Linked DNA regions of Oryctolagus cuniculus. The protein of the gene in region 1 binds, or shares a complex with, the protein of each later gene. Links are inferred from orthologs where the notes say so. Each region holds a gene or a part of one and is shown in the gene's direction. Other genes may lie near its edges.

What was found.
Region 2: SNRPD2 (region 1) and CWC15 share a complex: the UniProt entries of both Homo sapiens proteins name them as parts of the minor spliceosome. The link is inferred for Oryctolagus cuniculus from reciprocal best matches to the Homo sapiens genes SNRPD2 and CWC15.
Region 3: SNRPD2 (region 1) and BUD13 share a complex: the UniProt entries of both Homo sapiens proteins name them as parts of the minor spliceosome. The link is inferred for Oryctolagus cuniculus from reciprocal best matches to the Homo sapiens genes SNRPD2 and BUD13.
Region 4: SNRPD2 (region 1) and SNRPD1 share a complex: the UniProt entries of both Homo sapiens proteins name them as parts of the SMN-Sm complex. The link is inferred for Oryctolagus cuniculus from reciprocal best matches to the Homo sapiens genes SNRPD2 and SNRPD1.
Region 5: SNRPD2 (region 1) and GEMIN4 share a complex: the UniProt entries of both Homo sapiens proteins name them as parts of the SMN-Sm complex. The link is inferred for Oryctolagus cuniculus from reciprocal best matches to the Homo sapiens genes SNRPD2 and GEMIN4.

What each region holds. Positions count from the first base shown.
Region 1 is NC_091449.1:11,274,832-11,280,801, forward strand, and holds the start of SNRPD2 (small nuclear ribonucleoprotein Sm D2), read left to right. Parts: upstream 1-1,996; 5' UTR 1,997-2,144; coding exon 2,145-2,146; exon of another isoform or gene 2,147-2,382; intron 2,383-3,353; coding exon 3,354-3,533; intron 3,534-5,970. Other genes in the region: QPCTL (glutaminyl-peptide cyclotransferase-like protein), read right to left, coding at 692-835, 1,218-1,412. UniProt on the Homo sapiens protein: Plays a role in pre-mRNA splicing as a core component of the spliceosomal U1, U2, U4 and U5 small nuclear ribonucleoproteins (snRNPs), the building blocks of the spliceosome.
Region 2 is NC_091432.1:86,190,023-86,194,044, reverse strand, and holds the end of CWC15 (spliceosome-associated protein CWC15 homolog), read left to right. Parts: intron 1-2,025; coding exon 2,026-2,155; 3' UTR 2,156-2,199; downstream 2,200-4,022. UniProt on the Homo sapiens protein: Involved in pre-mRNA splicing as component of the spliceosome. Component of the PRP19-CDC5L complex that forms an integral part of the spliceosome and is required for activating pre-mRNA splicing.
Region 3 is NC_091432.1:108,717,626-108,722,966, reverse strand, and holds part of BUD13 (BUD13 homolog), read left to right. Parts: intron 1-2,159; coding exon 2,160-3,122; intron 3,123-4,253; coding exon 4,254-4,468; intron 4,469-5,341. UniProt on the Homo sapiens protein: Involved in pre-mRNA splicing as component of the activated spliceosome. As a component of the minor spliceosome, involved in the splicing of U12-type introns in pre-mRNAs.
Region 4 is NC_091441.1:56,023,790-56,027,978, reverse strand, and holds part of SNRPD1 (small nuclear ribonucleoprotein Sm D1), read left to right. Parts: intron 1-2,074; coding exon 2,075-2,266; intron 2,267-4,189. UniProt on the Homo sapiens protein: Plays a role in pre-mRNA splicing as a core component of the spliceosomal U1, U2, U4 and U5 small nuclear ribonucleoproteins (snRNPs), the building blocks of the spliceosome.
Region 5 is NC_091448.1:46,448,649-46,453,099, forward strand, and holds the end of GEMIN4 (gem-associated protein 4), read left to right. Parts: coding exon 1-2,444; 3' UTR 2,445-2,628; downstream 2,629-4,451. UniProt on the Homo sapiens protein: The SMN complex catalyzes the assembly of small nuclear ribonucleoproteins (snRNPs), the building blocks of the spliceosome, and thereby plays an important role in the splicing of cellular pre-mRNAs.

The sequences.
Region 1 (5,970 bases):
CTCTGGTGCCAGCATCACATACGGGCACCGGTTCAAGCCCCAGCTGCTCCACTTCCGATCCAACTCCCTGCTAATGGCTTGGGAAAGCGGTGGAAGATGGCCCAAGTGCTTGGGCCCCTGCACCTGCGTGGGAGACCCTGGAAGAAGCTCCTGGCTCCTGGCTTCAGATCGGTCCAGCTCTGGCCGTTGCAGCCATATGGGGAATGAACCAGCAGATGGAAGACCTCTCTCTCTCTGTAACTCTGTCTCTCGAATAAACAAATCTTCAAATAAAATAGAATGAACCTGTCTCACGTGGGTCAGGAGGCAGCAGTATGCAAATGAGCCCTGATGCTTTCTAGGAGAAGTACAGCCAGTCCCAGCCGCCAGCTCTGGAGCTAACGTAAGCTTGGGTTCCAGCCCCGGTCTCCCACTGACCAGCTGCAAGCTCCCTGGGCCCCAGCCTCCTGACCAGCTGCAAGCTCCCTGGGCCCCGGCCTCCCCACCTGCACATTGAAGATCTTACTGACCCCTCACGGGGCTGTTTGCTGCTTGGGAAACACCTGTGTGAGACTCGAGTCAGTGCCTGGCTCCTGCCCCTCCGCCGCTCCGGGACCCTTGGACAGGACCCCCGCTTCCCATGCCCCGCTGGGCTAGGTGTGTGTGGGGGTGGGGGCGGGTCAGCGCTGGGAGAGGAGACGGGGCCTCGTACCTTTCTGACTTGGAGACTGCCCGGAGTGCCCGGGGCTCGCACAACAAGCAGCGGTCGCAGGAAAGTGCCCCAGAGGCGCTGCAGGTCCAGCTGCCCCACCACCCTCCGCAGCCGGGCCTCCGGGAGACTTCCGGTCAGCGGCGTCTAAAGAAGAGAAGAATGAGCGCACTGCTCCCTCCCCCCAAAAGCCCGGGTGCCTCCGCGGCATGGGAGACTTCCAGGATCAAAGTCTCTCCAAGCCCACCCGGTTTAGCCTACCCCTCGATCGTGACATGGAAACCGAAGCCCAGCGAGGGGAAGGGAGGCTTCCAAGAGTTGCCTTTCGGGCGTGGAACCCAAAACCCTCATCCTGACGACTCCGGAGCCTTTCTTTCCAGGGGGCGCGTTGGGAGGGGGCTTGCGCTCCGGGGAGGCAGCCGGTGGCACCTGCGGCCAGGGCCCCAGGTAGCGCCACGTCAAACCGAAACTCGGAAAGAGGAAGCGGGGAGAGAGGGCCCTCCAGTGCCCGCGCCGCGCCCAGCCTCACCCGCGGCAGCTCCTCGGTCCTGCGGTGCCAGCTGCCCCACAGCGTGTAGAGGGCCGAGCCCACGGCCAGCGCCAGCAGCAGCACGGGCAGCAGCTGCGCCCGCGGGAGCAGGCGGCGCTTGAGCGGCGAGCTCGGCTCCATCAGGCCGCGCTCCCCGAGCCGGGGCCGGGGCCGCCCGCGGCCCCCGGGACGCATGGCAGCTTTGCCCTGAAACCGGCCAGGGACCGCGGATGGAGTTCAGGCCCAGCCAAGTCCCACCCCATGGAATCACAAAGCCAATGAGCGACAAGAGCGCCGGGCACCACCCCGGCCCGGCGAGCCGGGTGCAGCTCCCGAGGACAAGCCTCCCCGGAGGCCCGGGGTGTCGCGATTGGCTCCCAGAGGGGTTGCACAACCCCCAGAGGGGACGCGAAGGCGTGCGGCCCGCCCCGGCGGAGCGGGTAAAGCCAATGGGCAGCGCCCGGCCGCGGAAAGGGATTGGTTCCGCGGGACGGGAAGATCCAGCGAGGCGTCAGGCCCCGAAGCCGGGACCGGATTGGCTTCGTGGAGGCCGCGCCCCCGGAGACGGGGCTGGCGGGCATTTAGAAACCTCTGGCCGTTTCCCTCCTGCAGCCTGTCCCGCCTCTACCACGAAGCGGCGCGACTCGGACTCTCTGTCTTGGTCTCTCCATCCCGATGAACACCTGCCCGCTGTGGTCCTTAAAGGCCTCGAACTGCCGCTCGCGGCTTCGGCCCCCTCGCTGCGCAGCCGGCGGGGGTCGCTATGGCAACAAGCCACGCCCCAGCCCGCCGGGTGGGTTTGCGCAGGCGCCCACGGAAGTGGCCCGCCGGAAGCGGAAGTCCCGCCCCTCTCGCGCTCCATCCGCAGAGGCAGAAGCAACGCGGAGGAGGTTGGAGTGAGAGTGACCCGAACGCGGGGCCGGCACCATGTGAGGCCGGGCTGGGCTTAAGCGGCGGGCGTGAGGTTGTGGGTGCGAATGCGGCCGATTAGCGGCGGAAGGGGGCGGCAGCGCCGGGGGCGGAGCAGAGCTCTCGGGCGAATTTTCTGTAATGAGCGTGGGACCGGCCCCCGGGGCCTCTGGCGGACCCTGAGTCCGCGAGGGCCGCCAGCTCTGTGAGAGAACGGGCAGCGGCTCCTCCGCGTCATCAGCTCGCTGGAGTGAAGGTTAAGAAGCGGCTTCTCGAGTTACAGAAGCCGGGGAGCGGGCGCGGGCTTTTAGGCATAGCGATTGGGGGCGAGGGGCTTGGAACGTGAGCTGGGGCCGGGGGCCGTGGCTGCTCGGCCTGATTCGCAACGACGCCGCGGCTGGGGCTGCAGGCTCAGCCGGGGGCCCTGGGAGGGTTCCGAAGAGGCTGCCGTGAGTTAGGCTTGCGCACGGCCCCCAGGCTGCCCCTGGGTGCAGGTAGCCCTGGCACGGAGGTCGGATTCTGCAGCCGGCCGGGGGGAGGGGTACGGCCGGCAGACGCATTGATTCGGCCCTGCCGAGCGGGACTACGGCAGGCTGGTTTTTAAGCCGGCGCCCGAGTGCTGTTCTGAACACCGAGGCTGGCCAGCCCCGAGTGGCCGGGCAGGCCTTTCTCCTGTGACTGTTGCCCGGGCTCCACGGGGTCGCAGCACAGTCAGGTCCCGTTACGCTGTAACCTGGAGATGACTTAGCGAGCGGGAGGTGTGCGCAGGGTGTGTGTGTGTGCGTCCCCGCCATCCCACCTAAGGGATCCGAGCCGCTGAGGCTTCCGGGACCCGGGCAACGCGGATCCTGGGACCAGCCCCCTGTGGATGCCGAGGGACAAGCGTCCGATTGTGGGGCAGTGGGCGTCAGACGCCAGGGGGAGGAAGGTGGGGGCGCCGTAGAGCAAGTCCTGACAGTGGCTGCTGTCCGAGTTGCCGTGGGAGACGAAAGAGGAGTGGACGTCCGCTTCTGCCCGGCCAATGAGAAGGGCGGACTTACCCCCCAGGGAGTGGTGTGCCCTGGGTGCAGCAGGCTGGGGAGGGGGCCTAGCGGGAGCTGAGCCGGGGCGGGCGGGGTTGGGGATGGCTGGTGGCTTCCAGGTGCTGATGCCTAGAGACCAGGCCGGCAGGGCTGGGGGGCGGCCCCGGCTCCTCCCCTCACCCGCGGGTCCCTCCTCCCCCGTCAGGAGCCTCCTCAACAAGCCCAAGAGCGAGATGACCCCCGAGGAGCTGCAGAAGCGGGAGGAGGAGGAGTTCAACACGGGCCCGCTCTCCGTGCTCACGCAGTCGGTCAAGAACAACACGCAGGTGCTCATCAACTGCCGCAACAACAAGAAGCTGCTGGGCCGCGTGAAGGCCTTCGACAGGTGCGCGGCCGGGGGCGGGGCCTGGCCCGGGAGGGAGGGGCCTGCGGGCGGGGCTCCTCCGAGGCCGCGCCTCCCGCCCTGCCCTGCGGTGGGCGCCAGCCGGCCCCTGCTGTGCTGTCCCTCTGAGCGGCCAGGCGACCCTCAGCGCGTGCCGTTATCTTGTCCGCACAGTGGCAGGCAGTCGTCGCGGTGGATACAGAGATGCGGTGACTTAACACGCATGAAGTGCCTGGCCACAGGACACCTTTTGGTTCATTCATTGAAAGAGAAGCGGAGAGACGGAGAGAGCTCCCACCTGCTGGGCACTCCCCGGATGTCCACAGTGGGGCCAGAGCCGGGGGTAGCACGCAGGCAGGCTTTTAATATTTTATTTATTTTGAGAGGTAGAGTTATGGATAGAGACACAGAGAGGTCTTCCATCCGCTGGTTCACTGAGCTGAGCTGACCAGGAGCCAGGAGCTTCTCCTGGTCTACCACGTGGATGCAGGGGCCCAAGCACTTGGGCCATCTTTTGCTTTCCCAGGCCACAGCAGAGAGCTGGATCGAAGAGGAGCAGCCGGGCCTCGAACCGGCACCCTTGTGGGATGCTGGCGCTGCAGGCCAGGGCGTCAGCCCACCAACCACAGCGCCGCCCCCGTGTGTTCTGTGGTGTCTCACTCACGCACTCACCGTGCCCCTGGCCGTCCTTTGTGGTGCCCACAGCCTTGCAGAGGTGCCCCTGGCAGGGCTCGGTCCTGCAGGAGAACCTTCCAGGCGCTCTCCTGCCGCCCGGTTCTGCTGGTCCTGGCCTGAGAACACTGCGGCCAGCGGGCTGTTGCCTGCCCCCTCAGCCCCTCCCACCCGCGACTGAATGCGCAGTGTGTGCAGGTGGGGCGGGTTCATTCAAACAGGCACCTGATGACGGGCGATCTCCTTCCTGCGCCCTCCCTCCAGGGACCGCCCCCCTGGTGGTCACAGATCCGCAGGAGTGTGGTGTGACTGAAACATCACATGTGTTGGAAGATGGGGGCTTCTTAGCCTTTTTTTTTTTTTTTTTTTTTTTTTTGACAGGCAGAGTGGACAGTGAGAGAGAGAGACAGAGAGAAAGGTCTTCCTTTTGCCGTTGGTTCACCCTCCAATGGCCGCCGCGGTCGGCGCGCTGCTGATCCGATGCCAGGAGCCAGGTGCTTTTCCTGATCTCCCATGGGGTGCAGGGCCCAAGCACCTGGGCCATCCTCCACTGCACTCCCTGGCCACAGCAGAGAGCTGGCCTGGAAGAGGGGCAACCGGGACAGAATCCGGCGCCCCGACCGGGACTAGAACCCGGTGTGCCGGCGCCGCTAGGCGGAGGATTAGCCTAGTGAGCCACGGCGCCAGCCTTTTTTTTTTTTTGAAAGGCACAATTACAGAGAGGGAGTGAGAGTGAGATCTTCCATCGCTGGTGCAGTCCCCAAGCGGCCGCATGGGCTGAGGCTGGGCCAGGCCAGAGCCGGGAACTGCAGCCACTTCCGGGTCTCCCATGTGGGTGCAGAGACCCAAGGATTCGGCCATCTTCTGCTTTTCTGGGTGCATCAGCAGGAGTTGGAGCCGAAGTGGAGCACCTGGGACTCGAACAGGCAACCATATAGGATGCCGGTGCTGCAGGCTATGGCTTTAACCCGCTGATCCACAGTGCCAGCCCCTTCTTATCCTTTTTTTTTTTTTTCTTTTAATCCCAGGACTGGCATCTGTGTACTGCGGGTTAAACTGCTGCCTACAACACCTGCGTCCCATATGGGCGCTGGTTCAAGTCCCAGCCACTCCATTTCTGACGCAGCTCCCTGCTGACGTGCCGGGGAGAGCAGCAGAAGCTGGCGGAGCACATGGGCCCCTGCCACTCAGCTGGGGGGCCCAGAGAAAGCTCCCAGCTTTGCCCAGGCCCAGCCTGGCCGTTACAGCCATTCGGAGAGTAAGCCAGTGTGTGGAAGGAACAATCTTTCTCTCCATCTCTCTCTCTCTAACTCTGCCTTTCAAATAAATAACTGCATCCTTCAAAAAAAAAAAAAAAAAAAAAAAAAATCCCTGGACCGCTGCTGTGTTGTAGTGGGCTAAGCCTCCACCTGCGACGCCTGCATCCATACAGGCACCGGTTCAAGTCCCGGCTGCCCCTCTTCCAGGCCCGCTCTCTGCTGTGGCCCGGGAGTGCAGTGGAGGATGGCCCAAGTGCTTGGGCCCTGCACCGCGTGGGAGACCCGGAGGAAGGGCACTTCCGGGCCCACTCTGGACGCCTGCCTGCTGTGTTGGGTTCAGTCCTAGTTCTGCTCCCGGCCCAGTGGTCCCTGTGAGGCGGCAGGTGGTGGCCCAAGTGCTTAGGTCCCTGCCACCGCGTGGCACTCGGGTGTTGCTGGCATCTGGGGAGTGACCAGCAGGCGGAAGCTCCCCCGCAGTTCCTCGGCAGCACCGCTGTCTCCGTCTCGGG
Region 2 (4,022 bases), on another chromosome or scaffold:
GTGATCCTTTTAAACTGAAGTTTACAGCAACAGTCTCCTCTACTAAACCTCCCATGGCTTCTTGACTCATTTGCAGTAAAAACTTGAGTCCTTACAGTGGTCTCTAAAGCTGTAAAAATCTCCCTCCATGCAGAGGCAGCAGCATAGTCAAGGAAGGATTTGCTGACAAGGTGACATTTTTATCAGAGACTGGAGTCTGAGCTATTTGACCCAAACAATTGTGAAAGGATAGAGATAGTGAAGAATGTAGACTAAGGTTGGGGTTAGGGGAGGTGGCAAACTTAGGACACAGTAAGTTTGGCAGGATACGTGCATCTCTGAGGAAATGTTAAGGAGGTAACTTAATATGATTCCAGTCCAAGCTGGGGTAATAAATTTCAGAGTTGTCTGCTTATAGGAGTTCTGACACTGCGTAAGATCACCTCAAGAAGGCCGGCGCCGCGGCTCAGTAGGCTAATCCTCCACCTTCTAGTCCCGGTCGGGGCACCGGATTCTGTCCCGGTTGCCCCTTTTCCAGGCCAGCTCTCTGCTGTGGCCAGGGAGTGCAGTGGAGGATGGCCCAAGTGCTTGGGCCCTGCACCCCATGGGAGACCAGGAGAAGCACCTGGCTCCTGCCATCGGATCAGCGTGGTGCGCCGGCCGCGGCGGCCATTGGAGGGTGAACCAACGGCAAAGGAAGACCTTTCTGTCTGTCTCTCTCTCTCACTGTCCACTCTGCCTGTCAAAAATAAAAAAAAATAAAAAAATAAAATAAAAAAAAAAGATCACCTCAAGAATGAGTATAGCTAGAGAGGAGTCCTAGGACTGAGCATGGTGTTGTATTCAGAGGTTGAGTCGATGATTAGCTATCACTGCCTGAAACAGTAAATGAATTTTGAATGGAAGAAAACTAGACAGAGAAGGAACAGCCAGTGAAACAGAGAACTAAGAGATTGGTGTGGCAAGAGGAGAGGCATGATCATTTAGGGCAAATATTGGTGTCAGGACACGTAAATGAGTGCTACCATTTAGTGGCGTGGAATGATAATTTTGATGTTGGGGAGGAGGGACAAAGAGTTGGGAAGAGAGTGGACATAGAAAAAAATGTATATTGATTTTACTGATTATATATAAAGGTAAGGATAAACAGTTTCTTTTCCTTTTTGGATGCAGATGGAATTGTTTGTAGATGGAAACATGTCTTATATTCTAGTCATGTTGATCTGTTTACACTTTTATGTTTCTGTGTATTGTATCAATGATGACTTCACTAATGCTATATTTCAAAAATGCCCACATTCTTTTCTTATTTCTTCTGTGCCGTTTCTCATGGCATACATACATCAACACACGCAACCACGTTTGAATAGGCTTGTATTTTACACTCGTATCATTTGTTTGAGCTTATATCTTATATGCTGGGTCATGTTATGCAATCTTATCTTATTTTCTCTAACATCTATTTTATAGTCCACCCACGGGTGTTTTTTTTAATACTTACGCAGTACAAAATCCACCCAGAAGTATGCAAACAGAGTTCTACCTTGAGCTCTTTAAGTGCTATCTTTCTGTGGTTTATGTAGATGTGAGTCAATATAAGAACCTTAGTTATTCTACCTGATAGTTCCTGTTCCTTTTGCCCCACAATGTTACTGCTATAGTATGATTACTAAATTAACTAATAAAGAAGATTATATAATATCCTCAAAATGTCATAATCTAAACTATAGTAAATTGATCAGTTATTCTCATCTAGTGACATCTATATTAATGAGGATTATCCTGTATATTCTGTATATTTCTGCTTTATAACTCAGTTTCTTTTACTGGGGAAACAGCAAACTTTACATTCTCTAAGTAAGAATTGTCTTTCCTGCTAAAATAAAGCACGATTATTAAGGATTACGTTAATCTTCTGGGTATAATTGCTGCATCAAATGATGTGCATGTCGAGCATATTTCTGTATAAAGACTAAGCTTTGCAGTTCGCGTGGTGCCTTCCTGATACAAACGTTATAGGGTGTTCTATGTTTTTTCCCTGTTTAGGTGGGATGATGATGTTGTCTTCAAGAACTGTGCAAAAGGTGTAGATGATCAAAAGAAAGACAAAAGATTTGTAAATGATACACTGCGATCTGAATTTCACAAGAAGTTTATGGAGAAATATATTAAGTAGTACAGTTTTATGTGCTTAATTAAAGACTCAAATGTTAAGGATCATCTTGGCTTTGGTTAGTTTTTTCTTTTTATCCACCCCCACTTTCCTGTCATCTAAATCATTTGTAGACTTCCCTAATTTTAAATCCCAAAATACCTTTTCCTTTATTCATACCTTATTTTATAATGGACATGGGAATAGTTTGAACCCAGTCTCCATTATCAGTGTTTCCAATCATGTTTTCTTTTTAATTGAGAAAAGGAACTTTGCTTGTAATAAATATTTTTAATCTAAATAGCTAAATTTGTGTTCCAAATTTTTGTTGTAATTTATGCAGCTTATAAAATGTTGCATACTTTCTTTTCAAAAGAAAACTTATGTGCTTTGTGTTTCTTTGTGCGTTTAATTCCCCCCCCCACTTCTCTCATTGATTTAAGATCAATTAATGTATAATATTTTATCTGTGCATTTTTTAAGAGTGTGAAGAAAGATTAAAGGAATTCCATGTTGGACCTCCTGTTGGTATGGAAGAGTATTGTCCATCAGTAAATGGTGCAGCCTTCTGCAGGCACTCCATGATCAGAGACAGAAGCTCTGTAAGCGTTTCTAGGATGCACATGATGCTCACTTGTTTCTCCTGGTATTCAGCTGCCATGTTTCTCTTGAAAGTTATTAGAGTTTTCACACCGACGTGCATTAGATAAAAAGCCTATGGCATTCCAAATCCAAAAATAAGTAAAGGAAAACCTAGTTGGAAATAGGATTTTATTTGTTGTCCTGGAAGGCATGTCTTCCAGGTGAGAGGTGAGAGGGACACAACCGAGCTCTACTAAAAGCCAGAACTCCGGGAAATGAAGTTTCTGTAAGCTCAGCTGCAACTTCTCCTATTTGAGCTTGATAGGTTCAGGAAGAATCAGAAAAAAGCTAGTTTCCATGATTTCTTTCTTCCTATCCATGTGGTTTTCTTTCTTTTTTTGTTGGAAGGCAGAGTTACAGAGAGGCACAGAGAAAAGTCTTTCATCCGCTGGTTCATTCCCCAAATGGCCACAACAGCTAGAGCTGTGCCAATCCGGAGCCAGGAGCTTCCTCTGGGTCTCCAACTTGGGTACAGGGGCCCAAGCACTTGAATCATCTTCTGCTGCTTTCCCAGGCCATAGAGAGCTGGATCAGAAGTGGAGCAGCTTGGACTTGAACCGGCTCCTATATGGGATGCTGGTACTGTAGGCGGCAGCTTCCTCCACTAACCACAGCACTGGCCCAAGTAGTTTTTTAATGTAAAACATCATAGAACTTGTCTCAGTCCCAGAACACACACAAACGTGTCGGCTTCAGATTTATAGCCTACTTAGCTAGACTGCCCTGTGTCCTCTTTGCAAAAGTACCTTGTATAGGAATGACTGAGGGGTCCGTCATACCCTTCGAATGCTGATGCTGTGTGAAAGAGCCAGAGCTTTTAAGCCAGGTGGGCCTGGGTGCGAAGCCCAGCTTTACCTGTGGCTTTAGTACAGCAAACATTGAATGACCACCAAGTGCACCCGTGCTGCATTCATCTAATTGACACCACTCCCTCTAAGGTAGGCGTGATTATTTTCCCCATTTTATGGAGAAGGAAAACATAAGAGAAGTTAAAATAAACTTTAATGAAAGAAGACTAAGACCTGTAACTGTTGATGCTAAGCCATCTACTGCTATGCTTGACTTGATGTTAATTAGTCCTCAGGCTTTGCTCCACAGTCAGAAACAACAGTAACAGTAGTCTTGAGGGAGTTTTGTAGGCATTGACCAATGTAAACTTCAAGTGTCTGGCAGGCATATTTTAGGGACTTCATACCTTCTTCCTCATACCTTGCTCTGCTAATAGCAGGAACTGGCTAAAAATTTCAAA
Region 3 (5,341 bases), on another chromosome or scaffold:
TCACTGATATATATATAATATAATATAATTATATCACTGAGATATATATATATATGTATATATTGTATCACTGTTGCCTTGGTTACTTTTCAGTACATATTATGAATGAAAACTTTAGGGGCCACTGCTGTGGCATAGTGCTTAAAGCCCATGCCTGCAGTACCAGCATCCTATATGGGCGCTGATTCAAGTCCCAGCTGCTCTGTTTCTGATCCAGTTCTCTGCTATGGCCTAGGAAAGCAGTAAGAGATGGCCCAAGTCCTTGGGCCCCTGCATCTGCATGGGAGACCAGGAAGAAACTCCTGGCTCCTCGCTTCGGATCAGCTCAGCTCTGGCCATTATAGCCATTTGGGGAGTGAACCAGCAGATGGAAGACCTAAAGACCTCTCTCTCTCTCTCTCTGCCTCTGCCTTTCCCTCTCTGTAACTCTGACTTTCAAATAAATAAGTAAATCTTTAAAAAAAAAAAATGAAAACTTTAGTCTTGGGATATTTTTATCAGAATGCTTTTTAGTCTTATCCATTATTTTCTACCTTATCCTCTAGGTGTGTTTCCAATCTTTTGTATAATCTTTTCAGAGAAGATCTTCTGGTCTCCATGTCTAAAGGTCTAGGAAATCTCTCTCTCTCTCTCTCTCTCTCTCTCTCACACACACACACACGCACACACACAGTCCTTTATTTACTGGAAATAACTTACTGTTCTGATTTTTCCCCCTTTGTATACATCTCTTGGAATGTATCAGTCTCATGGATTAGATGTATTGTCAAGCCTCCTGCAGACATCAGTGCTGTTCTCTGTGGGGTGGATTCCAGTGCCATAGGTCTGTTCTTAGAGCAGAGGGGTGCCTCGGTTTACTTCATGCACTTAACAATATCCACGTGTTCCTAGCCAGCTTTGTGGTTTTGGCCCATATAGCTCAATGACAAGAACCAGAGGGAGAGGAGGAACTGGAGTTGGGGAATGTTGCAGTTGCTATAAACATTTCATTCTATTGTGCCACTGAAATTGATGGCCTCAAATGTGAATTTTTTCCTCAGCTACATATTTTTAAAGATTTCACATGGACTTTGGGGTCCAATCTGGATTTTTATTTACTCCTTCACTACTTACCAGCAGTGTGACTTGGGCAGATGACTTGATCTTCCTGGGTATCAGCTTCCTCATGAGGATAGTCTTTACTGCCTACGTTTGTGAAAATTAAATAAGGCAATCTGTATAGAGCATTGGCACATAGTAGATTATCAGTAAGTGATTTTCTCTTACAAGAAGCACAGTGACATGGATTAAATGTTTAACAAGCATTTTATTTTAATGTGCATAGGTTCTGTCCATTTGACTTTTTTTTTTTTTTTTAAGATTTATTTTATTTATTTGAAAGATAGAGTTACAGAGAGAGGTAGAGACAGAAAGAGGGGTCTTCCATCCGCTGGTTCACTCCCAGATAGCCGCAATGGCCAGAACTGCACCAATCCAAAGCCAGGAGCTTCCTCTGGGCCTCCCATGTGGGTGCAGGGGCCCAAGGACTTGGGCCATCCTCAACTGCCATCCCAGGCCACAGCAGAGAGCTGGATGGGAAGAAGAGCAGCCAGGACTAGAACCGGGGCCCATATGAGATGCTGATGCTGCAGGTGGAGGATTAACCCGCTGTGCCACAGCGCCGGCCTCGTCCATTTGACTTTTGAAAGAAGATTGATTACAGCTATAAATAGTCTAGGCTAAGTATCAGTAGGAGCCACTGAGGGGGAACTCTGCCTAAATGAGGTTTTGGAAAGAAACTGGATTAAAGGTTAGAAGAGTTTGGTTCTAGCCAGTCTTTATCTTAGTAGCTGTGACCTTAAGTAAGAAATCACTCAGTATCACAGAGCCTCCCTTTTCATGTCTATAAAACAAGGGACCTGCCCTGCTTACCTTAGAGGGTATAATATGAAAAATGTCTTTAAAATGCTTTCAAATTTATGACTTGTAGACCAGTAAGAGGGGTTATTCTCTAGATTCATTAGTGCTGGTTTGCTGCCTCCAAGGAAGAGAGCTGTGCAGACTTTTTGGGCTTTCTGAGTAGTTCTAAGGTGTATGCTGCCGGGACATCTTTTGAAACTTTAAATGAAGGGGTGGACAGAGCAACTATGGAAATCTGATTCTTTGCTATTTGTGCTTAGGTCACGATGAAGACCTACCTTCACAAGGGCATTTCCGTCACGACACCCCGGATCCTTCTCCTCCCAGACGGCTCCGTCATGACACTCCGGATTCTTCTCCTCCCAGGAGAATCCATGACGACACCTTGGATCCATCTTCTCCCAGGAGGGTCCGTCATGACACCCCGGATCCTTCCCCTCCCAGGAGGGTCCGTCACGACACCCCGGATCCTTCCCCTCCCAGGAGGGTCCGTCATGACACCCCGGATCCTTCTCCTCCCAGGAGGGTCCGTCACGACACCCCGGATCCTTCTCCCAGGAGGGTCCGTCACGACACCCCGGATCCTTCTCCCCCCAGGAGGGTCCGTCACGACACCCCGGATCCTTCCCCTCCCAGGAGGGTCCGTCACGACACCCCGGATCCTTCTCCCCCCAGGAGGGTCCGTCACGACACCCCGGATCCTTCTCCCCCTAGGAGGGTCCGTCACGACACCCCGGATCCTTCTCCTCCCAGGAGGGTCCGTCACGACACCCCGGATCCTTCTCCTCCCGGGAAGCCTCATCACAGTTCTTCAGCTGTGTTTCCTAGGAGAACCCGTCATGATTCACCAGATCCGTCTCCTGCTAGGAGGACGTCTCATAATTCCTCAGATATTTCTTCCTCCAGAAGGGCCCACGACAGCTCCCCTGACGCTTCCCAACCTAGGAAAATTCCCGGGACCTCTGACACAGGGCAGCTCAGGGGGGCCCGACACAGTTCCCCCAATTCGGCACCTGATGTCACTCACTCAGTGTCCAAAACCAAAAGTAAGAAAGCCCCAGAAAGAGCATCTAGCAAGACTTCTCCACCTTGGAATGAGCCACAGACCTCTCATTCATTACTCCCGAAGAAGAGCAAGTATGAGTGTGACTCGGATCTCTCTCCGCCACGAAAAAGACAGGCAAAATCCCATTTTGGAGATAAGAAGCAGCTTGAGTCTAAAGGTGAGCACGTGACCGCCCGCGGGAGGGACTTCCTTCCTGGCAGTTTTCTATTGCACTTCTACTTGCTCTATTAGATGTGAGAATGGAATTTCTTTGGAAAAGTTTTGAAAAGTGGGAGTCTGGGCTCAGGAGAGTTAAAACATTATGATGGCAAGGAGGACATTTTTATGAATTATTTTATTTACTTCTCACCATGTATAAAAGTACTACATGTTTGTGGCAGAAGTTTTATAATGCATAGAAGTGTACAAAAAGGCAGAAAAAATGACACAAAATTTTGTCATTCAGAGGCCATCACTGATAATGTTGTAACCAATGTCCATTTAGTCTTTTAAAAAATTAATTTATTTGAGAGGTAGAGGTCCAATGAGACAGACAGAGAGCTCCCATCTGCTAATCACTCCTCAAATGCCTGCAGCAGCCTGGGCTAAAGTTGGGAGCTGAGAACTCAATCCAGTTCTCCCATATGGCTGGCAAGAACCCAGTTACTTGAGCTGTGACTGCTGCCTCCTGGGGTCTGCTTTAATAAGAAGCTGGAGTCAGGAACTGGAGCCAGATATTGAACCCGGATACTCTTATGGAATCGGGGCATCTGAACCACTAGGCTGAATGTGTGCCTTCTTTTAGTCTTTTTTTTTTTTTTTTTTTTTTTGAATGTATTTTTGTTGCAGTTGAGTCCTGGCTATGCAGAATGAGTATTACGGTGTGTGTAATCTTACCTTCTCTCTTAACGTGATATATATCAGATATCAGAATATACTGTAGCTGTTTCCAACTTTGGCCGCACCATGGAGAGCTAACTCCCAAGTTGTTTAGCCTGTTCTGTGAGTAGATGGAGGTGTTGAAGTTTGACACAGCGGTCATGGCCACAGTCACTAGTCATTTGGGAGTAGAACCCCATCTGCTGCCTGTTGGTTTTGAGAGTATCTCTGACTTGGCTCTTCTCCCAAAGCTTCTGTACTTGTGTTTAGGTCAATGTTCTATACCAGCTGAGTAAATTTTTCTTACAGATTCTTACAAAGGGATTAGTCTTTTCTTTAATTTCTAGGCTCTTCCTCCAGCCAAAGGAAATTTCATTTAAGTTCCTCACCTAGGAGACTTAGAAACACATAGGAACTCTTTCCTACCCAGGTGACCGCCGGAAAGCCTCTGATTCCGATCTTTCTCCTCCACGGCGTAAAAATCCGAGGCCTCAGGATTCTGATTCAGATCTGTCTCCTCCACGGAATAGACCTCAGCACCGAAGCTCTGATTCTGACCTCTCTCCACCAAGGAGGAAACGGGGGACCAGGTCTCCTGATTCGGATCTGTCTCCACCCAGGAGAAGTCAGCCTCCCGGAAAGCGGGTAGGGAGCCCCGTCCTTCCCTTCCCGTGACTCCTGTCTTCTGGCTTTGCACGAGTCCCAGGAAACCGAGCCAGCGGAGGAAGTAGCTATGGCAGTGCAGGGAATCCTGGCTTAGAAGTACCACTGGGGCACTTTCCTTTGCTCTCAGGGTGGGACTGGCTGTAACCCCACCCAGATGGGCTTGTATCAAGTCTCGTGTTAATTTTTTTGGGCTAGAAAAACTTCCTGCTTCCTTATGAGTAAATGAAGGGTTGTGGTTTGTAGGATAGAGTTCGTAGCACAAAGCCTGTGTCAAACTGATCACATATTTGAATCCTACTTCTGCCAATTACTAAATGGGAGATTTGGACAAGATACTTAATATCTCTGCATCTCAGCTGTAGATAATGGCAGTACCTTAAGATTATTATGAGAATTAAGTGTGGGTAATTAAGTGTGAGCTTAGGACAAAGTGATTATTTAGTGTAATTTGTTATAAATTTATTATTGTAAGTTGGATTACATATCTTTAGCCGGAACAAAAAGAGAGACACTTAAACTATAAAACTATTTTCAGAAATCACAGTCTGAGAAATCTGTTTTGTTGTATTTTACATCTATGATAAAGCTTGATGGATTAGCACAATAAAAATCCACGTGAACCCCAAGTAACCGTAAGGAAGAGCAGTGGCACTAAAGGCATCTTATTGCGAGTTGATTAAGCACTGTGGTGTGCGAGTTTCTCTCTCAGGCAGGTTTCTCAGCTAAGTCTTCTCAGAAGACCTGGAAAAGACTGGTCCTGGTAAGGTGGACCAGCCTGTCCCCAAACCTGCTTTTGGGGAAAAAAGTAAGGTGTCTGTGTTAGCTGGACCCCTTGAAATTTTATGTATCTGT
Region 4 (4,189 bases), on another chromosome or scaffold:
AGGGCTGGGCCAGGCCAAACCCAAGGGCCGGGAACTTCTTCCAGATTTCCCACATGGGTGCGGGGACCTGAGCACTTGGGTCTTCCTCCACTGCCTTCCCTGATTTCAGTACCTAGCTCTGGCTCATGACTTCAGCTTCCAGCTAATGCAGACCCTGGCAGGCCACAATGCTAGCTCAAGTAATTGGGTTCCTGTCATTCACATGGAAGACCTGGGCTGAGTTCCCAACTCCTGCCTTTGGCTTTAGCTTCAGCTGCAGCCATTGTGGGCATTTGGGGAGTGAATCAGCAGATGGGAGCTCTATCTTTCTTTGCTTCTCAAATAATAGTTGTTTTTAAAAGGTTAGTTAAAAATGCACTCTAAATTCCTACTAATAAATGCTACAGTAAATATAAGACTTTGAAAACAAAAGTAAGGGGGCTGGCGCTGTGGCGCAGCAGGTTAACACGCCTGGCCTGAAGCGCCAGCATCCCATATGGGCGCCCGTTCGAGACCTGGCTGCTCCACTTCCTGTCCAGCTCTCTGCTGTGACCTGGGATGCAGTAGAAGATGGCCCAAGTCCTTGGGCCCCTGCACCCGCATGGGAGACCCCGAGGAGGCTCCTGGCTCCTGGCTTTGGATTGGCGCAGCTCTGGCCATTGCGGCCAATTGGGGAGTGAACCATCGGATGGAAGTGTGGGGAGCAACTGGGAGCAACTCGGACTAGACTAAGTTACTGGAATTAAGACTTATTCTATGCATCTGCTTTCCCACAATATGGCGCTGAGAAGGGAAACAGCTTCTACTCAGCTGCCTCCAGTTCAACCAATAAACTGTGGGACCTGCTCCTGATTGGAGGAGAGCAGCGTACTCGGCGTGTGGGTAGCAGAGTTGGGATTGGTGGAAGGACTATAAAGGAGGAGAGAGACAACATGCACCAGGAACATCTATGGGGAACATCTAAGGGGAACATCTAGCTGAAGGAACACCTGTGCAGCCCCCGAGAAGAGCCGGCCGGCGGTGTGCCGCTCCCCTGCGGAAGTGGGGAATGTGGCCAGGGGGAACTGCCCTTCCACGGAGGTGGAAGGGATAGTAGCCAACCCGGGAAGAACCAGCAGCAAACCCGGGGAGGGCCGAGCAGACGAAAGAACAGCGCAGGGTCTTGTGTCGTTCCTCCACGAAGAGGGGGAGCGACATAATGGTGCCGTGACTCGGATATGAAGCCTAGGCAGGGTTTAGTGTCGTTCCTCCACGAAGAGGGGGAGCGACAGGAAGATTTCTCTCTCACCCGCGCTCGCTCGCGCGCGCTCTCTCTCTCTCTCTCTGCCTCTCCTCTCTGTGTAACTCTGACTTTAAGTAAAATAAATAAATCTTTAAAAAAAGAAAAGTGAGAATAGTAGGGCAGACTTTGTGGCACAGTGGGTTAAACTACCTCTTGGGACTGATTCAAATCCTAGTCCAATCTAGCTTCCTACTGATGCTTATTCTGGGAGGCAGCAGATGATACGTCAAGTGTTTGAGTACCTGCTGCCCACATGGGAGACCTAGAAATTCCAGGTCCCCAGCTTTGGCCTGGCCCTGCCCTGCTGTTTTGGGTGTTTGGGGAATCAAACTGCAGGTGGAGAATCTCTCTGTCTCTGTTGCTGTGCCTTTCAAACAAATAAATTTACATTTTTTTTTAAAAGTGAGGATAACATGGTGGAATGCAATATAATGAAGTTATGGGGACAATATATGACACTTTTTTTTTTTTTTTTTTTTAAAGAATCTTGCCATAAATACTTGGCCAAACCTAAGATAGGAGGAGGATCCTTGGGTTGGTGGGCATAAAGCATGTGTAACAGGCAGGTTTCCACCAGGCTTTCTTCATTCACTTCTGCAAATGTAACTGGCAAAACCTCTAGGAAGGAATGAATACAGACTTAGGCTGACATTCCTCCTCCATTTACCCATTGCATATGTGCTAATTTGTGTTATGGAAACTTCCTTTGTAGCAAATGGTTCTCATCTGTAATATAGTATTTACCATGGCTTCATAGATTAATTGGTTGCCTTCCTTTTCGCGCTAGTAATTGTCCTGCTTTTTCCCTTCCAGGTGTAGATGTCAGCATGAATACGCATCTTAAAGCCGTGAAGATGACCCTGAAGAACAGAGAACCTGTACAGCTGGAAACACTGAGTATTCGAGGGAATAACATTCGCTATTTTATTCTACCGGACAGTTTACCTCTGGATACACTACTTGTGGATGTTGAACCCAAGGTGAAATCTAAGAAAAGGGAAGCTGGTAAGTTCGAGGGATTATATATGCTTTTGTGAATGGTGTACTTATACTCTATTCAGAATACAAATATTTGGCAACAGCACAGGAGGTTTTGTTGTTTTTTAGAATTTTCTTGTCATGTGTGCATCTGTTTATTGTAGCTCCTGATATTACTGTAAAAAAGATTGGTATTTTTATTTCCTGTTTTCTAGTACATGACCTGGTTCCCATTCTTGCCACTTTAGAAGATTTACAGATTGACTCTATTCCTGATATTATGAAATTCCTTAAAGATTTGGCATAGGGTTCTCTTGCCATCACCTCCGATCTTTTCTCCTTTTCTCCCCTTCCATTTTGTTGCTCTGGGTAGTAGACAGACTCCCCCCCCCCCCCCCCCCCCGGCAGAGTTAGTGAGAGAAAGAGAGAGAGAGAGAAAGGTCTTCCTTCCGTTGGTTCACCCCCCAAATGGCCGCTACGGCCGATGTGCTGCAGCCGGTGCACAGTGCCAATCCAAAGTCAGGAGCCAGGTGCTTCCTCCTGGTCTCCCATGCAGGTGCAGGGCCCAAGCACTTGGGCCATCCTCCACTGCACTCCCGGGCCATAGCATTGGGCTGGCCTGGAAGAGGAGCAACCGGGACAGAAATCGGCGCCCTGACCGGGACTAGAACCTGGGGTGCTGGCACCGCAGGTGGAGGATTAGCCTAGTGAGCGCGGCGCCGGCCAGGCAGACCATTCAGTGTGGATATTCTTGCTCTTTATAGCCAAGAAACTTATTGTTTAACTTTGGTAATTTCTTCCCTTTTGCTTGCCCTTTTATTTTTCCCCTTAAAAAGCTCCAGAGATTTTTGTTTGTTTGTTTGTTTTGTTTTTATTTGACAGGCAGAGTTAGACAGTGAGAGAGAGAGAAAGGTCTTCCTTCCGTTGGTTCACCCCCCAAATGGCTGCTATGGCTGGCACGCTGCGCTGATCCGAAGCCAGGAGCCGGGTGCTTCTCCTGGTCTCCCATGAGGGTGCAGCAGGGCCCAAACACTTGGGCCATTCTCCACTGCCTTCCCGGGCCACAGCAGAGAGCTGGACTGGAAGAGGAGCAACCGGGATAGAATATGGCGCCCTGACTGGGACTAGAACCCGGTGTGCCGGTGCCGCAGGCAAAGGATTAGCCTATTGAGCCATGGCGCTGGCCATCCTCCCTTTTGCTTGCCCTTCTTTAATGGTTGGACCTTACGGATGCTGATTTCTTTTTTCCTCTCGTTTTTTTTTCTCTGCCTTCTGGACCTTATTTTCCAGTCTAACACATACTTAATTTTCAAAGCTCTTTGTTCATTTAATTATTTTTAGAAGAATCCTGTTCTTGTTTTTATGAATGCAATATTTTTTTTCACTAATAGGATATTCCAGTTCTTTTTTTTTATTTGTTCTTGGTATTGTTTTCTCTATTTGGTTTATCTGTTCTTTAACATTAAATGTTTGCTTAAGTATCTTGAGAGCTTTGGCTGTCCATTGTTTAATGAGGACCCTGAAAAGGGAAGTTTGAGGAGGCGGCTGGGCTTCATATCTAATGGATATCCCTCTAGAGTTTAGTGAGTTGCTCTCTTTCCTAAGAAGACCCAGAATTTCAGGAACTGGAAGTCTTTTTGTAGATCTGGTTTTCCCAGGAAAAGATTATATTTGCCTACCTTGGGAAATAGAGATCTGGTAGCCAGTAGTGCAGGTGCAAGACAGGAGAAAGGGTCTGGATATTTTACAGGTAGTCACTCAGCTGATTAGGATGACAGGAATAGTCATCGGATGGATTCAAGTCCTAGATTATGATTGTGTCAAGTGTCTTCTAAGGTTCTGTGGTTGTTATTTGATGTAATACATTTAAATGTTCTCAATTTTCAATGCATTTGCTTGGATTCTACTTCGTAACCAAAAATCTAGCACATGGTATCCACACTGAGAGAT
Region 5 (4,451 bases), on another chromosome or scaffold:
ACATGCTGACCGTGTTTGCGCTGATGGAGGACGACCCCCAGGAAGTGTCTGCGACCATGTACCTGGACAAACTGGCCACGGTGATCTCTGTGTGGAATTCGGACACGCAGAACCCGTACCACCAACAGGCGTTGGTAGAGAAGGTCAAGGAGGCGGAGCGGGATGTCAGCCTGACCTCCCTGGCCAAGCTGCCGAGTGAGACCATTTTCCTGGGGTTTGAGTTCATGCACAGCCTGCTGCGGGAGTGGGGGGAGGAGCTGCAGGCCATGCTCAACAGCAGCCAGGGGACGAATTACGACAGCTACCGGCTGTGTGACAGTCTGACGTCCTTCAGCCAGAACCTGAAGCTCTACCTGGACGCCACCAGCCTGTCCCCGGAGGAGAGGCGGATGGTGTCCGAGCTGGCGGAGTGTGTCCAGGGCTTCCTGAGGAAGACAAGCAGGGTGCCAAAGGACAAGGGCTCTGAGGCCATCATGGCCTCCATCGCCATGGCCATCATTGAGCAGAAGATGGAGCGCCACATGGAGATGTGCTACGTCTTCGCTGCGGAGAAGAAGTGGGCCTTCTCAGACGAGTGGGTAGCCTGCCTGGCCAACAACAGGGCTCTCTTCCGGGAGCCAGGCTTGATTTTAAGGCTGCTAGAAACGGTGGTAGAAGTCACCGCGAGCAACAGAATCATCCCTGAATCTCGGATGAAACAGGTGATCCACTTGATCCTGGAATGTTACGCAGACCTCTCACTGCCAGATAAAAACAAAGTCCTGTCGGGCGTGCTGCATTCCTGGGGGCGCAAGGGCCTCTCTGAAAAGCTCTTGCCTTACCTGGAGGGTTTCCAGGAAGACCTCAATACGACTTTTAACCAGCTCACCCAGGGCACCTCGGAGCAGGGCTTGGCCAGGGCTGTGGCTTCCGTGGCCCGCCTGGTGGTGCTGTACCCGGAGGTCACAGTGAAGAAGATGTGCAGCATGGCCGTGATCAACCTGGGCACCCACAGATTCCTGGCTCAGATTCTCACCGCCTTCCCCGCCCTCAGGTTCACGGAAGAGGAAGGGCCGCGTTCACCCAGCACTTTCGTGGTGTCGTGCCTCCGAGAAACTGTCTGGACCAAGTTCTCAACACCCAGAGAGGAGAAGCAGTTTCTGGAGCTGCTGAGCTGCCTGATGAGGCCTGTGAGGCCCCCGGGGATCCCAGTCGCCGCCCTTCTTGAGCCGGACGAGGTGCTGAAGGAGTTTGTGCTGCCCTTCCTGATGCTGGACATGGACGAGGTGGACCTCAGCCTGAAGATCTGCCTGCAGACCCTCGAGGCCAGCGCGTGCTTGGAGGACTACTGGCTCCAGACCTGCTCCCCGTTCCCCCTCCTCTTCAGCTTGTGCCAGCTTCTGGACAGCTTCAGCAAGTACTGGCAGCTGCCCAAAGAGAGGCGCTGCCTCTCCCTGGATGGGAAAGACCTGGTGATCCGTCTCCTGGTGCTGCTCTGTGACACTGTGTCGGCCAACGCGGACACCTTCTCCCCAGACACCTGGGGCAAGTCCCTGTCCTGGCTCCACCGGAAGCTGGAGCAGCTGGACTGGACAGTGGGCCTGAGACTCAAGCACTTCTTTGAGGGCCACTTCAAGTGCGAGGTGCCCACCACACTCTTTGAGATCTGTAAGCTTTCTGAGTCTGAGTGGACCTCCCAGGCCCACCCAGGGTATGGGCCGGGCACAGGGCTTCTGGCCTGGATGGAGTGCAGCTACGTGTCCAGCAGCGTCTCGGAGCAGATGCTCTCCCTCTTGGTGGTGGACGTGGGCAATCCTGAGGAGGTCCGGTTGTTCAGCAAGGGCTTTCTGGTGGCCCTGGTGCAAGTCATGCCTTGGTGCAGCCCCCAGGAGTGGCAGCGACTTCACCAGCTGACCAGGAAGCTGTTGGAGAAACAGCTCCTCCATGTCCCCTATAGCCTGGAGTACATTCAGTTTGTTCCCCTGCTCAACCTGAAGCCTTTTGCCCAGGAGCTGCAACTCTCTGTGCTCTTCCTGAGAGCTTTCCAGTTTCTCTGCAGCCAGAGTTGTCGTAATTGGCTTCCTATGGAAGGCTGGAGCCACGTGGTCAAACTCCTGTGCAGCAGTGTGACCAACCTCCTGGACTCCGTTAGGCTGATACAGTCAGTTGGCCCTTGCGCCCAAGGCCAAGAGCAGGACCTGACCCAGGAAACCCTGTTTGTTTATACCCAGGTGTTCTGTCATGTTCTGCACATCATGGCCATGCTCTACCAAGAGGTCTGTGAACCGCTGTATGTGCTGGCCTTGGAAATCCTCACCTGCTATGAGACCCTGAGCAAGACCAACCCTTCCGTCAGCTCCCTGTTACAGAAGGTGAATGAGCAGCGCTTCTTAAAGTCCATCGCCGAGAACATCAGCCCGGAGGAGCGGCGCCAGACCCTGCTGCAGAAGATCAACAGCTTCTGACGTTTGCAGGCAGGAAGGAGCTGGGGCCCGCCCCAGGGGTTCTCTAGGGGCTGCGGCCAAGAAGCAAGGCTTCGCAGTTCCGTGAAATTGTACACAGGATTAAAAAGTATATGGCAATAATGGTGTAAAGGAAATAGTTTCATACTTATTTGTAACAAACTATAATAAAATTCTGTTAAAGTTTCATCTTGCCTGAGTCTGTCTCAGCAGGGATTGAATGCACGGCTGTAGGCAGAGACTCCGAGATGAAGTCCCGCTGGGAGGAACTGGGCAAACAGGCCCACAGGTGAAACCAGGTGGGGAAAAATACTGCAGGGTGTGTGTGCGCTCTGCGCACTGAGACCCTCTGCAAGAGACGTTTCATTAGTAAATTTCACCAAGTATCTCAGAGCAGCCCCTGGGAAAAAAGTCTGGTCTACCCTGGCTCTGCCTCTGGCCGTGTGATTTATGCACCCAAGAGGCCAGCACCATTGTAAAAGGAGAGGACTGGACCAATAAACACTTTGAAGTGTTAGGGGGCAGATTAATGGCCTCACAGAAATGGGTGCCTTCTGGGTGGATGCCTGCCCTGGAGCCTTCCCTCGGTGGACCCAGAGGGGGCTGTGTTCAACCTAGGTCAGGAAAACAGAGATGTGTTTAAAGGACAGGGGTGATTATCTTCTGGCTGGGGTGGGGTTGTCACGGTTTTGATGAATGAGTGGGAGCAGAGAATAGTGTGTCCAGGAGCGTAAATATGAGAATTGAAGGTGTCCAGGGTATTATTATAGGACAGGCAACAGCTGGCTGAGGAGATGTTTATTTCCGGAGACAGAGGGAAAAGGTCATGTCCTATCACCTGCCTGTCCATACCTTCATTCAAAATTGGCATTTCTCAGGTTAGTTCCCCAGCCCCTGCTCTGTGACCAACAATTAGGCTTCCACCCTCAGCTCCAGTGGGACTCACCCATGAAGAGAAGGGCCTAAAGTTACAGGTGACCACTCAGCGTGGACTCCGGGAGACTGTATTCGCGGGGTGTTGAATCACAGGAACATGCTGGGGTAACGTGGGCTGGGTCCTCCTGCAGCTCAGCACTGGCGCACCTGCTGCCGTCAGCACACAGCACAGTGCAGCCAATCAAACTGGGTCAAAGGATTGCTGCTCCCAGGACATCGGTAACGAAGGATTTCGCAAGCGAGAGTAAGTTGGGAAACATTAGTGCAATTTAATCACCACAGGGATGACTTACACAGGTAGATACAGTAAATAAAACAGTATAAAAAATTGTAGCATCTTACATTTTGTAAATGGCACCCATTAAAGACGACCAGTCAGAATTTCAGATGCTGTTACATGACATTCCGTCCTTTTAAGAGTTGAAGGCACTTCTAGAATTCTAGTTTTTCACTACCACTTGAAAAACTGGTAGCACAGTCTCAGACCCCTCCTAGTTGATAAGGAATGATTAGTGTTGGCACCAGAGGATCCTGTTTGCATATGGGGTGAAGGCGTCAGCACACGGGACGTACTGGGCCAGACAGGCTGCCCTCTTTCTCCAGCGTCCTGTGGTTAAACAGCAGTACGCTCAACAAGGGAATGGGCTTTGGACCACGAGCTCTGGCTTGCCCAGGGGCTCTGTGGGGAGTACCCTGCAGTCTAGATGAGCCACCTCATGGCTGGGAGCATACAAGTCCACTTCCAACAGTGCCCAGAGCGGGATCACCCAGTGAGTAGTTTGCCCGTAGCTGTTGGGGACGCATCCGCTGCGTGTGGATGTGGGGAGAGCTGGGCATGAGGGGACACGCTAAGAGGGGAATAGTGTCTGTGACTGCAGCAAACGGGCTTGACGCTGGTCTTCTACCAAGTCCGCCTGCGAAGGTCGTGCTGACCTCTTGGCCTCCTGCCTACTCAAGTACTTCAGGGTCCCATCCCTGCGCCTCACTGCCCCGGAGACTTCTGACTGGAAGTCAGTAGACACGGCAGTGAGGGTGAGGCAAAGAACCAACGGGTTACCGGGTAAACACTTTGAA